2 linked regions of the Saccharomyces cerevisiae S288C genome follow. Changing the gene in region 2 together with the main gene of any one other region gives a genetic interaction. Each region holds a gene or a part of one and is shown on either strand. Other genes may lie near its edges.

Evidence for each region. Genes that interact genetically often act in the same process or in processes that back each other up.
Region 1: mutations in BIT2 (region 2) and HPF1 together harm fitness more than expected from each alone (negative genetic interaction), as found in Saccharomyces cerevisiae (2 studies listed by BioGRID).

The regions. Positions count from the first base shown.
Region 1 is NC_001147.6:27,417-34,600, reverse strand, and holds HPF1 (mannoprotein), read left to right. Parts: upstream 1-2,994; coding exon 2,995-5,898; downstream 5,899-7,184. UniProt on the Saccharomyces cerevisiae protein: Involved in cell wall organization and biosynthesis.
Region 2 is NC_001134.8:741,227-746,891, forward strand, and holds BIT2 (Bit2p), read right to left. Parts: upstream 3,173-5,665; coding exon 1,535-3,172; downstream 1-1,534. Other genes in the region: mitochondrial 54S ribosomal protein mL54 MRPL37, read left to right, coding at 73-390; SDH8 (Sdh8p), read right to left, coding at 934-1,350; EFM2 (S-adenosylmethionine-dependent methyltransferase), read left to right, coding at 3,626-4,885; HSM3 (Hsm3p), read right to left, coding at 5,135-5,665.

The DNA of each region.
Region 1 (7,184 bases), on a different chromosome or scaffold from region 2:
CCTAGATGGGTTGTTCTCCCCCAATGACAGTAATTTTGTCTTGTTTTTATACGTTTCTAATTGATATATTGAAGGACCAGAATGTAGCTCTATTTGAAAGCATGTGCGGCGTCTATAGATCTCTTGTAGAGGGTTCAAGCCACGGAAAAGAACAGTACTTCAACAGATTCGTGATCTGGAAAAGAAAGTATAATTTCTTTTTCCTCCAAAGAGGTTACATTCTTGTAAGCAGTATGGCTACAAAAAACCTTCAGGGTCCTAACCCTGAAGGTCAATTATAAGAAGCCTTTAAAAACAGCGCTTCCGCCATGTCATTGTCGACAGCTAGCTACGGCTGATTCAGCGCGCATACGATTTTTTTCTTTTGGCTAGCATAAATTGATCGCATACTGCCCAAAAAGAAACGGCAAAACGTCAGAGCTTAATGCTTCATTGACATTGCGGCAGCAACAAACTTCCGTTTGGCACTCAATGATCAGCACCTCTTTTCCACTTCAGCTGAAAATTTCAAGCAGTTGACTCTTGTTGGACTTTATTCTTATCTTTTTCTTTACTTAATTTTTCACATTTTAAAAGTTGTTTAGTTTTACCCTTTTTGGAGATTTTATTACAGCGATTGATTATGGGCCAGGTGAATATTGGTCAATTATTGAAATTTCATTTTATCTATGAGAAATAGATGAAAAAATTAGATAATTGTGTTGGGATTCCACTGTTCTCATTAGGTATGAATTTCTCCTGGAGGATACAAAAAAAAAAATTCACAAAAGGGAATCGATTTTTGTCTGTATGATATTATTGAGGCTTTCATTCATTTTACATATTGTCGTTCATTACCTTGTTACATTATCAATCCTTCCATTTCTGTATCCTTTAGATATGATGACTGCCTCTTGATGTTATGCCATATTTGCACCAGTATGTCATATATACTAGCAAGAAGACTGCTAGTCAATTAACAATAGTTGATTCTCGATTCAGCAACCATATTTTTGGAATCGGACTGAATTTTGTCGAACTAATTATACACCTTTCCTTGAAAGAATAAGCTGTTAGTGAGAAACAAGCAAGAACTTGCTAGCCGTCGCAGTTTGTCGGATTTCACTAAATAGACAAAACTACATGTAGAGTATCGTATTTCTATGGTAAAAGTTTACACCATCAAAAATTACCCCGCGAAGACTACGCAAATAAGGTTATACAAGTTAGTTGAGATGAAATAATCATCTCCACGTTCACGATTTAAGGCTAAATTGGAATGCGGCTAAAAAAGAGCGCAGTTACAAGAAAAAGCTACTATTTTATTATGCACGTGTGATAGCATTATCTTCAAGAATAAGCTCAAAAAAGAAAATGAGCTTAAAAAACCGCCTTTCCAGATAATTGAATGTAGCATATACCTATACATGCTTACCATGCCAAAAATATAACGGAACCACTACACATATCGGACCGTATTTTTATGGTTTATCAGTAAGGCCAACCATAAACACCTCAATGTTGGGGAGTCTGTCCTCGGCAATCAATGACGATGCCATTTCACCCTCATTCGAGTACTCGCTAACGTAAGAAAAAGGCACCCCGCAATGGGGTAGATCATACCCTAAAATGTTTCCTAGGTAGAAATAATAGTTACTAGGTAGGACGAAGGCAAGTACTACATAGCAGTACGGTTTCTGAGTCAGTAGTAACCCCTCAAACTTGCTCACACTTATCTTACCAAAAAATGGAGACGGACAATCAAATCTGAATTAAAAACACCGTCGCTTAACTGAATCAGAGAGAGAAGTTGAAACCAATGGTAGGAAATCAATCTAAAATAGAACACTTTAATTCTTAATAAAAAGAGGGGAACAACTTATTTTCTCCATTTGGCCTCGGCAACTTTCAGGGGGGCTTGAACGTATATACCGATCTACGTTGGAATTGACTGCTACTTCGTTCCACTAACCCAACTCAACAAATAAGCCTTGGAACCGCTGCAAGATTAGTCTATGTGACCGTGCCTTTTTTGCACTTTTAGAGAAACAGTGTTAAGAACTGTAATAACTGTTCAATTCTAAGCACTCAAACCGTGCTTGTACATATGCTTCAATGGCCTGCTCGATAGACCGATCACGTTTAATTTTTCTTTAATTTTGCCAAGGGAACGTTCTTTTCGTAGGCACCGCAATTTATTTCTAATGGATAAGTTCTGAATTTTGCTATGAATTAGTTAGTAGGGCCTACTAAAATGGCGTGGTATTTTTAAAGGGCCTTTACCAGCCACTCCTCAACAGAAAACCGTGCTCGCGTTGCAGAAATACGAGGTAGACACGCGCCTTAGGAACATAAAAATAAATATCTCGCGCTCACGGAAGGCAACCACTAACTCCTTTTCATCGAAAAGTGAGGTGTAGCTTACTAAAGCATTCCTCTTTATCCAAGTCGTATATTTTTCTTTATACTGCTAGTTCATTCTGAGCGGAGATTCCTGGCTAACTCTCCAATTGGAAATAAGGTAATAATGACTTTTCATGACGAATTGGGTGAAAATGCTTGGTGCTAGGCCCTGTGTTGTGGCTTTTTTCGGTAATAGTTTAATTTTCCAAAAAGGTTCCTGTGACTATCTTATCAAAGTAGCTTAGACCACGTCCTGCACGGTTTTGCAGACTGCTTAGGGGGTCTCTTGTTGTTATTAGCAGCGGAATATCTTTGTTTACTCATTAAAATGCCCCCCCGTTCGTTGCAAGGAACGCGCGCGCACAGAACTTGCGGATGCTTCCGCAGAAGTGCCCGTAGGAGATTTAAGCTAGCCCAGCGGTTAATCTACGCAGTTGCGTATTCGGAGTCCGCTCACACTTGCAAAAAGCATATAAAAAGCTTCATATTCATCTCATTAGTATCGGTTCTGCCATCCCATTATCTTAGGTTTATGCCTTTTCTGGTTCTCAAGTCAGTAACAACAAATACCCATCGTTGATTCTTTTTGGTAAGATCTCGCCTGTCAAAGAGATGTTCAATCGCTTTAATAAACTTCAAGCCGCTTTGGCTTTGGTCCTTTACTCCCAAAGTGCATTGGGCCAATATTATACCAACAGTTCCTCAATCGCTAGTAACAGCTCCACCGCCGTTTCGTCAACTTCATCAGGTTCCGTTTCCATCAGTAGTTCTATTGAGTTGACCTCATCTACTTCTGATGTCTCGAGCTCTCTCACTGAGTTAACGTCATCCTCCACCGAAGTCTCGAGCTCCATTGCTCCATCAACCTCGTCCTCTGAAGTCTCGAGCTCTATTACTTCATCAGGCTCTTCAGTCTCCGGCTCATCTTCTATTACTTCATCAGGCTCATCAGTCTCCAGTTCATCTTCTGCCACTGAATCAGGCTCATCCGCCTCCGGTTCATCCTCCGCCACTGAATCGGGCTCATCAGTCTCCGGTTCATCTACTTCCATTACATCAGGCTCATCCTCCGCCACTGAATCGGGCTCATCAGTCTCCGGTTCAACTTCTGCCACTGAATCAGGCTCATCCGCCTCCGGTTCATCTTCTGCCACTGAATCAGGCTCATCCGCCTCCGGTTCATCTTCTGCCACAGAATCAGGCTCATCAGTCTCCGGTTCATCTTCTGCCACAGAATCAGGCTCATCAGTCTCCGGTTCATCTTCTGCCACAGAATCAGGCTCCGCTTCTTCGGTTCCTAGCTCATCCGGTTCTGTCACAGAATCAGGCTCATCCTCATCAGCATCTGAATCATCTATCACACAATCTGGTACCGCTTCCGGTTCATCAGCCTCCAGCACGTCCGGTTCTGTTACACAATCTGGTTCCTCCGTTTCCGGTTCATCAGCTTCTTCTGCTCCAGGTATCTCGAGTTCAATTCCTCAATCAACCTCATCGGCTTCCACTGCCTCTGGTTCTATCACCTCCGGTACCTTAAGTTCTATTACCTCTTCGGCTTCTAGTGCAACTGCAACTGCTTCCAACTCTCTTTCTTCCAGCGATGGTACTATTTATTTGCCTTCTACAACCATCAGTGGTGACATCACACTCACCGGTTCAGTCATTGCAACTGAAGCTGTCGAAGTCGCTGCAGGTGGTAAGTTGACCCTACTTGATGGTGACAAATACGTTTTCTCTGCTGATTTCATAATCCATGGTGGCGTTTTCGTAGAAAAGTCTAAGCCAACTTACCCAGGTACCGAATTCGACATTTCTGGTGAAAACTTTGATGTATCTGGTACCTTTAACGCTGAAGAGCCTGCTGCTTCTTCCGCATCTGCCTACTCCTTCACTCCAGGCTCTTTCGATAACAGTGGTGATATTTCTTTGAGTCTATCAGAGTCCACAAAGGGCGAAGTCACATTCTCTCCCTACTCTAACTCTGGTGCTTTCTCTTTCTCAAATGCTATTCTCAATGGTGGTTCCGTCTCTGGTTTGCAGCGTAGAGCTGAATCAGGTTCTGTCAACAACGGTGAGATAAATCTTGAGAATGGCAGTACCTACGTCGTTGTCGAACCAGTTTCTGGAAGTGGTACAATCAACATCATCTCTGGCAACCTTTACTTGCACTATCCAGACACCTTTACTGGCCAAACTGTTGTATTCAAGGGTGAAGGTGTTCTTGCCGTTGACCCAACCGAAACCAACACTACTCCTATCCCTGTGGTTGGATACACTGGTGAAAACCAAATCGCCATTACAGCAGATGTCACTGCTCTTTCTTACGACAGTGCTACTGGTGTTTTAACTGCAACACAAGGCAACTCACAATTCTCCTTCTCTATTGGTACTGGGTTCTCCAGTTCTGGCTTCAACGTCTCCGAAGGAACATTTGCTGGTGCCTATGCTTATTATCTAAATTACGGAGGTGTTGTTGCTTCCAGCGCTACACCCTCATCCACATCTACCACATCAGGGGCTACCAACTCTACTTCCGGTTCCACTTCATTCGGTGCTTCCGTAACTGGTTCAACCGCTTCCACTTCATTCGGTGCTTCCGTGACTGGTTCAACGGCTTCCACCTTGATTTCCGGCTCCCCATCTGTTTATACCACAACATTAACATATGCAACAACCACAAGCACAGTAGTTGTCTCCTGTTCAGAAACAACTGATTCGAACGGTAACGTCTATACCATTACCACAACCGTACCATGTTCATCTACCACCGCCACTATCACTTCTTGCGATGAGACCGGATGTCATGTAACTACGTCTACCGGTACCGTCGCCACTGAAACCGTTTCTTCCAAATCATACACCACTGTTACCGTCACCCACTGTGACAACAATGGCTGTAACACCAAGACTGTCACTTCTGAATGTCCTGAAGAAACTTCAGCAACTACTACTTCTCCAAAATCATACACTACTGTTACCGTTACTCACTGTGACGACAACGGCTGTAACACTAAGACTGTCACCTCTGAGGCCCCTGAAGCCACAACCACTACTGTTTCTCCAAAGACATACACTACCGCTACTGTTACTCAGTGCGATGACAATGGATGTAGCACCAAGACTGTCACTTCTGAAGCTCCTAAAGAAACTTCAGAAACTTCAGAAACCAGTGCTGCCCCTAAGACATACACTACTGCCACTGTTACTCAATGTGATGACAATGGTTGTAACGTCAAGATAATCACCTCTCAAATACCTGAAGCTACTTCAACCGTCACCGCAACTAGTGCTTCTCCAAAGTCATACACTACTGTCACTTCTGAGGGTTCTAAAGCAACCTCATTGACTACTGCCATTTCCAAGGCTTCTAGTGCAATTTCCACATACTCCAAATCTGCAGCTCCAATAAAGACCTCTACTGGTATCATTGTCCAGTCCGAGGGTATTGCCGCAGGTTTGAATGCCAATACTTTGAATGCATTGGTCGGTATTTTCGTTCTTGCTTTCTTTAACTAATTTTTTTAACTGAGGAATTAAAAGTTTATTCCTCTGAAACGAGATAGGTTCTTAATATGCGTTTTATATACGCTTTGTGTAAACAGTTAAGTATTTTTTTAGCTTAATATTTGGATTTTTTTTATTTTTTTTATTCTTTTTGGATGAAATGGTTCCCTCTTCTGCCAATGAAGGGGAGACTAGGTTGATGTGTACACATCGTACACATTTTAAGGACACTTATTTCACTTATTGTCCACAGTAAAATCGTTCAGGCCATAATTAAATGCGAACTTAAGAGAACCTAAAAGTACCTCCCAACTTTTATAGTGGAGCTTCCGCTCTTTGGTCAGAAAAAAATCGAGTTCTGAACACTTGGCTTTATATTACAAATTTCTCCCTTCCAAGAAAGACAAGGGGTGCTTATCGCGACATGTCTCACAATAAACTTTATTATATTTATACTTTATTTATTAATAAGAGTTTCAAATAGGATTCTTGGAGAATTTTCAAAGCGTTTTTGCGTATAAGAAACTTTTCGGTTTGGCTCTTATCAGTTTACTGCCGATCTTTCTTCCTCACTGCTTGACCTGCCACTACGGAAGATCTTACCGACAATGATGTGAGCGGCGAGAACAAGGGAAATCTCGTAAGAATAGGAAACAACCTAACCTCATTTACTAAGAGAACCCGCAGGAAAAGATATCTTTTTGAGGCACAATTTTATGACCGCGTGTTTTCGAATTTTGACAGGGATCATGCAGGCAGAGATTTTCATGTCATTTGACAGCAAGTAACCCACAATCTACAGTCACACCCTTTTTGGCTTTTTTGAGGCGGGACTTTTTTTTTTAAGACATAATTCTTCAGCAGATTGAAATTCTGGTAACCTAATTGAGAAATCCCACGCATAATTGAGTTTTAACTTTCGAATTTTTCAGCAAGATAAATTAATGTCTCGCCCGGGCCATAGACAAAAGAAGAAAATCTATAAACATTCCGTGGATCGCCATGTGATATTTCTATTTAATATAGGCACATGGCTATGGCGAAACCTTAATGTGATACTTATGGTACATATATGTAACATGCTATAGTTACAGTAAGGATTGGCAACTTAATTCGTTTCCTTCGATTTTATACTCTTCGAACGTATTTGCAGTCATTGGCAGTAGAACATCATTTAGCACATCCAACGACTACCGTCGTTGTGCACGTGACACTCACCCCAATTGGACACTGACTTGAACTAAAATAACAGCGTGTCATATAGATAAGGAAGATAAATATATTGGAACTGGTAGTAT
Region 2 (5,665 bases):
AAGTGAAAAAACTAATAGGCTTCTTAAAGCAGTTATATCTACAGCAAAGGAAATAGCTGCTGAAGACTGAAGATGTTGGCGCGCAGTTTGGGTTACAGGTTGATATCGACCAGTCGTATCTTATATAATAAACCCACGGTTAAGTCAGTGGTGTCGTCGTGTCCTGCGGGAACATCGCTTAACTTAAACATATGGAAGAGCGGTAAAGACGCAGTGGCACTCGAGGACAAGGAGTATCCAAATTGGTTATGGAGCGTATTGGATAGTGATCACGTTGTCGAACATGCGGCTGAGGACCCAGAGGGACAGGCTCTCTTAAAGAGAAGAAAGAACATAAGGAAGGCGAACAGGCAGCGAATCAAGCAAAACAATTTCTTGAGCCAACTTTAAGCCTCCGTTAATAAGATCAAGTTTGGTATCCTTGTAAATAAATATGTGTGTACGTGGTTAAATAGTATGTTTTTAGCATAATGCCTTATTTTGTACCAACAAAAACATGATAGTTCCCACATATCTTTTCGCCTGGGGAATACCAAGTGGGACAAACAAAACGTTAAAAATTAAATCCTTTAGAGTACCACAAATTCGCAAGAAACAAGATAGTTGAATTGTCAATCATGGCTAAGATAAGTATGAATGTGCCCAGTGTAAAGATCAAAAACATGCCAAAGGTAAGGTTAAAAAGCACTAGAAAGACTGTCTCCACGAAAAACATGCGAAATAGGTTCAATTCATACTCGAAAAGAATTCGAAGGACGCTCACAAGAAAGAGATTTTAGGCAAACATGAAACGTATGCATTTCATAACACACACATATATATATTATATATTCAAAATAAAGCATAACAACATACATATTGAAAAGTAAATTGAACGTTACGCAGTTTCATCAAATAAGAATAGTATTATTAAAAATTGGCCGGACCAAATATCTAGAAATCCGTTACTCTTCCGTTAAACGAATAATCGCCGTGTCTCAACGGGTCCTGCTTGGGACCCCCAACTTCACCAGTCTTGGGGTTAACATCACCTTCGAATTCAGGTATGGTCTTGGAAAATTCAGGCGAGAATGACCCAATATCGTTTTTGGTTAAAAGCGGTGAATTCAAACTCTCCTTTGTACGATCGCCGGTGGCCTGCGCATTATACTGATCTATTGCCTCTTGCGATGTGGCAATCCTCTGAAGTCTTTCGAACTCTTCCTGCTCTTCTCTTGGCAGCTTGGGAGGGCCGGGGATCCTTTCAGTAGTTATTTTTCGGGTGGCCATATTAAATGGTCGTCCACGTAGTAGATTTAAGGCTCCCGTGCGAGGATACCGATAACCTGTGCTTTTGATGGCGCACAACATTAGTTCTTCTTTTTATTATTTGGTTCTTTCTGACTCTTTAGCAAGTTAATATGATCTGCACTTTCCCCATTGGCCCCTTTATAGGGCGGAAAAGAGCATCTGTTTTTCCGGATTCTTGGAACAAGAAAAAGGAAATACACCTATCTATATGCCACTATTGTATATTACTAAATAAAATATTTAATTATATACTCATGCGTATGCCCTCAAGAAGTTCACCAATAATTCTTTGGTTTCTGCTGTTACCTTTTATGGTATTCAGGATCCCAAAACACTGCAGCAGCGTCAGTTTATCTTCCTCTGTGACGCCGTTCTGTTCTTCCTCGCTGAAAATATATCTTTGAAAACTCTTACTGGCACCGTCATTTGTATGTAGGAAGCTTTCGTAATACGGAAGAATGATGGAGTCTCTAAAACACTTTAATAAAAGGACATCAATTGACGGTGCGTACCTTGAAGGTTCAGATAGATATCCGTCAAGCCAGTAGTTACTATTTTTTTGGAAGCTTTTCTCGAAGGGCAGTAACACTGCCATCATGTCGTAGTAAACCTGTTGGTAAAACACCTTCCAGATTATGCCGACTCTTTTCAAAGCCGTATTTACGGTATCCTCATTGGCATAATTGAACACAATCTGGTTCTCTAAAATGTAAAGTGAAGTGGTAATGAATTCCTCGATTTCGGCCAAAAACCTTGAGTGCGTTACGGCAGCCTTGGTTTGTGTTTTCAAAGTGATATAAAATTCCAGCAGCCGGTCAATATCTTCTATTTTTGCTGGCAATTGCCATACCCTCTTGTTTTTAAATAGCTCCACAACTATGCTGCAGTATATACCCCAGATATTCCCCTCCAGAACAAATAACTCCTGTACGGTGAAGCTTTTATAGTTTGCTATCAAGGATGGCAAGTTTTTCAGTAAATCATGTAGTAAAGAAACATTAGTCGCGTCGAAAGCATCATCTTGGATCAGCGATAGAGCTGTATCATTAGGGTTGTTGTTAATGCTAGGGTTAAAGGAATATACAGATTTTCCAGAGTCAATAAGGCCTCCAGTAGAAGTATGGATAAACTGTACGGGTGACCTATGTTTACCATATGAAGAATGCAGAAATTTACTGAATGGGCTGGGAACTACGGGTTCAACGTCGTCTTTACCAATGGAATTATGCGGCTTGTAGGGTAAAAGCTTTTTTGCCATTTTGCTAAAGACATTACTGCCTTTGTTTGAATGAGAATGTCCTGTAGACAGTGAAGATTGTAAACTGTTCACACTCATATTAGATTTCGTATGAAACAATTTAGAGCCACTCCTACTTATGTTGTTACTACTTGTGCCGGTAATAACAGTGCCGTAGTTTTTTGACCCGCTCCTGCTTCGATTTCTCATATTATCTTTTGAATTGGTGAAGATGGACAGTCGCCTTTTATTGCCCCTTGAGTTGGAAGAAAATAAACTATCATTAGACGTGGTGTTCCCCTCCATTCGGTTACTACTTGATGAACCTATTTCGGAGTGACCATCGTTATTCTCCGTGCCTTGGCTGTACTCCTCTTCAATCGAATCCGTCGAGCGCCTTGCATTGGAACCATCATGGAATATAGATTGAAACCCCACCTGTGACCATCTAGGAGCGGCATCATGAGGAGATTTGGATGTTTTTAGATGCACATCTTCGTCGGGATGTGTCAGCGCTTGCGGTACTATATCAGAAGAAACACTATAAACTCTAGCTGGTTTGCGATTAGTTGCTTTTATGTTCGGGTTCGTGACGCTCAGTGAGCCTGAGGTAGCACTTCTTTTACGATTTAGGTCTGTTGCCATTGCTTGACTCTGTAGTTTAAGACTCGCCTAGCCACTTATGCTTATTGTGGTTTGTATTTTTTATTTACTGTCTTCTATCTTTCTCCCTTTAATTTTGACCTTATTTTAAAGCCCGCAAAGATCGCTGAAAAATTGCTAGTAAAGGTCGCATGCAAAATGGATAAAGTGCTCTTGTCAAATTATTTCAACACCTTCATTCGCAGTATAGTGGTATATTGGATTGGGTAAAGGAAAACAGGCGACACCAATATTGGTTTAAGCTAGTAGCGTATGCAGCTCTATCCAGGCATTAAAATTGGTTCACCTATTTCTGATAGTAGTTTTTTTTTTTCCAATCGTAAATTTTTTCTTCAATTTCGCGATGAGCTACAAAATAATAGTAGTGCAATCTGTATATTACTTTTCAAGTATCTAACTCATGCAAGTTAGGAGTTCCATAGCGGATATTTCACTATGTTTGATCCTCTCGATTTGTACACCCCTGATGACATCCAGGTTGAGGCTTTACAGTTCAATCTAGCAGAGAGAGAGCCAAAAGATCCTTGCTCACCGCAACGTGACGAAATATTAACGGCTGTAGATGAAGAAGAGAGTGACGACGATGACACCATTATCGATAATCTGGATCTGCCCTCCGTGAAGTATGCTCCGCCAGAAGTTATCCTTTGTATACTAATACTTCTGAAGCCCGATAGACAAGTAAACTTCAATCAGGAGACAGGGAAGAACAAATCTGTACTGGAGGTTTGCAAGAGTCATGGGCTGGAACCCGATCTGCTGAAAAGACTTTTGACTTGGTATACAGAAGAATGGCCTAACAAGAGGTTAAACTCGTTGGAAAAGATATGCAATAAAATCCCAATGCTGAGATTTACAGTATCCAAAGAACTACTGTTGGGCTACTATACTAGTGTATTGAAAAAATACAATAATAGTTGCGGATTGAATGAGGAAATCATACAAGAACTTCTTAAGGAATTGAGCTCAAGGATATCCGAAAACTGTGGGAGAACGGCCCAACCATCCATAGTAAGATATTTTGAATTAAGAAATCTAAGCACTTCCATACCGCTTCATGAACCCTCTTTAACGGCCGATAATCTTGGTTGGAAAACATGGGGATCATCTTTAATACTTTCACAATTAGTCGTAGATCACCTGGATTACCTACATACCACTAATGTGAACATGTTAGCGAACAGCGACATCAAACAGATTAAAGTATTAGAATTAGGAGCGGGCACTGGTTTAGTAGGACTTTCATGGGCCTTAAAATGGAAAGAACTTTATGGAACTGAAAATATAGAAATCTTCGTGACGGATTTACCCGAGATTGTGACGAATTTGAAGAAAAATGTGTCATTAAATAATTTAGGAGATTTCGTTCAAGCAGAGATATTAGATTGGACTAATCCTCACGATTTTATAGATAAATTTGGACATGAAAATGAATTTGACGTCATATTGATCGCCGACCCGATATATTCGCCTCAGCATCCGGAATGGGTAGTTAACATGATATCGAAGTTTTTGGCGGCATCAGGGACCTGTCACCTAGAAATACCTTTAAGGGCAAAATACGCCAAAGAACGAGAGGTTTTGAAATTATTACTAAAAGAGAGTGATTTAAAAGTAGTTGAAGAACGGCATTCAGAGGGTGTGGATGATTGGGGTGCCGTTAAGTATTTATATAGGCAAATCGTTCGCAATTAGTGGGAAAGAAACGAACGCGCTTAGGCGAATAGTTTTTCTTTATAATAAAAATCATGCATGCTACATAGACATTGAAATGTGAATTATAAGTACTTGCCAGACCTTACATACTGATTTATACAATTTATGGAGAAGAAAACTGAATGGGCCACCTCGCCAAAAGGTTAGTTTTTGATTCAGACAGGAATCAATACTGGTAGTACATTAAACAATCAAGGCCGCCTTTATAGTTGCGCTTATGCAACATAATCATCTGCAATCTGCAATCTTAGTTTCACTGCCTGTGGAATAATTTTTTCCGTTAACTGCTTTGGAGTATTCTCGCAATAAAGGTTCATACCATACACTTAACTTTTCTTCACCTTTGTCCAGTAAATTTCTCAAGGCAGAATTCCTATAATGCACAGTCTCAAGATCTATAATAGCACCTGCGCTCCCATCACCTATCAAGCTGCCCATCACCTTTGGCATCTCATTGAGCAGAAATTTTGAAGTGTATTCGTATCTCGTCAAGGTTTCTACTACTTGCATTTGTTCTAAGTACGGTAGTCTTAAGACAATCTCAGCACTAAACTTGTTTCTTATAGCATTGAAACATTCTTCATCTGCTGAAAGATTTCTCAACATTCCAATGCTGTAGCCACTGACGTGAAAATAGTTTTCGACCACATCTTTATGATATTTTACCAAGTACTGCGGATTAATTAATTCCAACCACTCGGTTATTAATTTTGCTTCGGACCCAATTTTTAAAGAATCTTTGTCCATAGTCTTGAATAA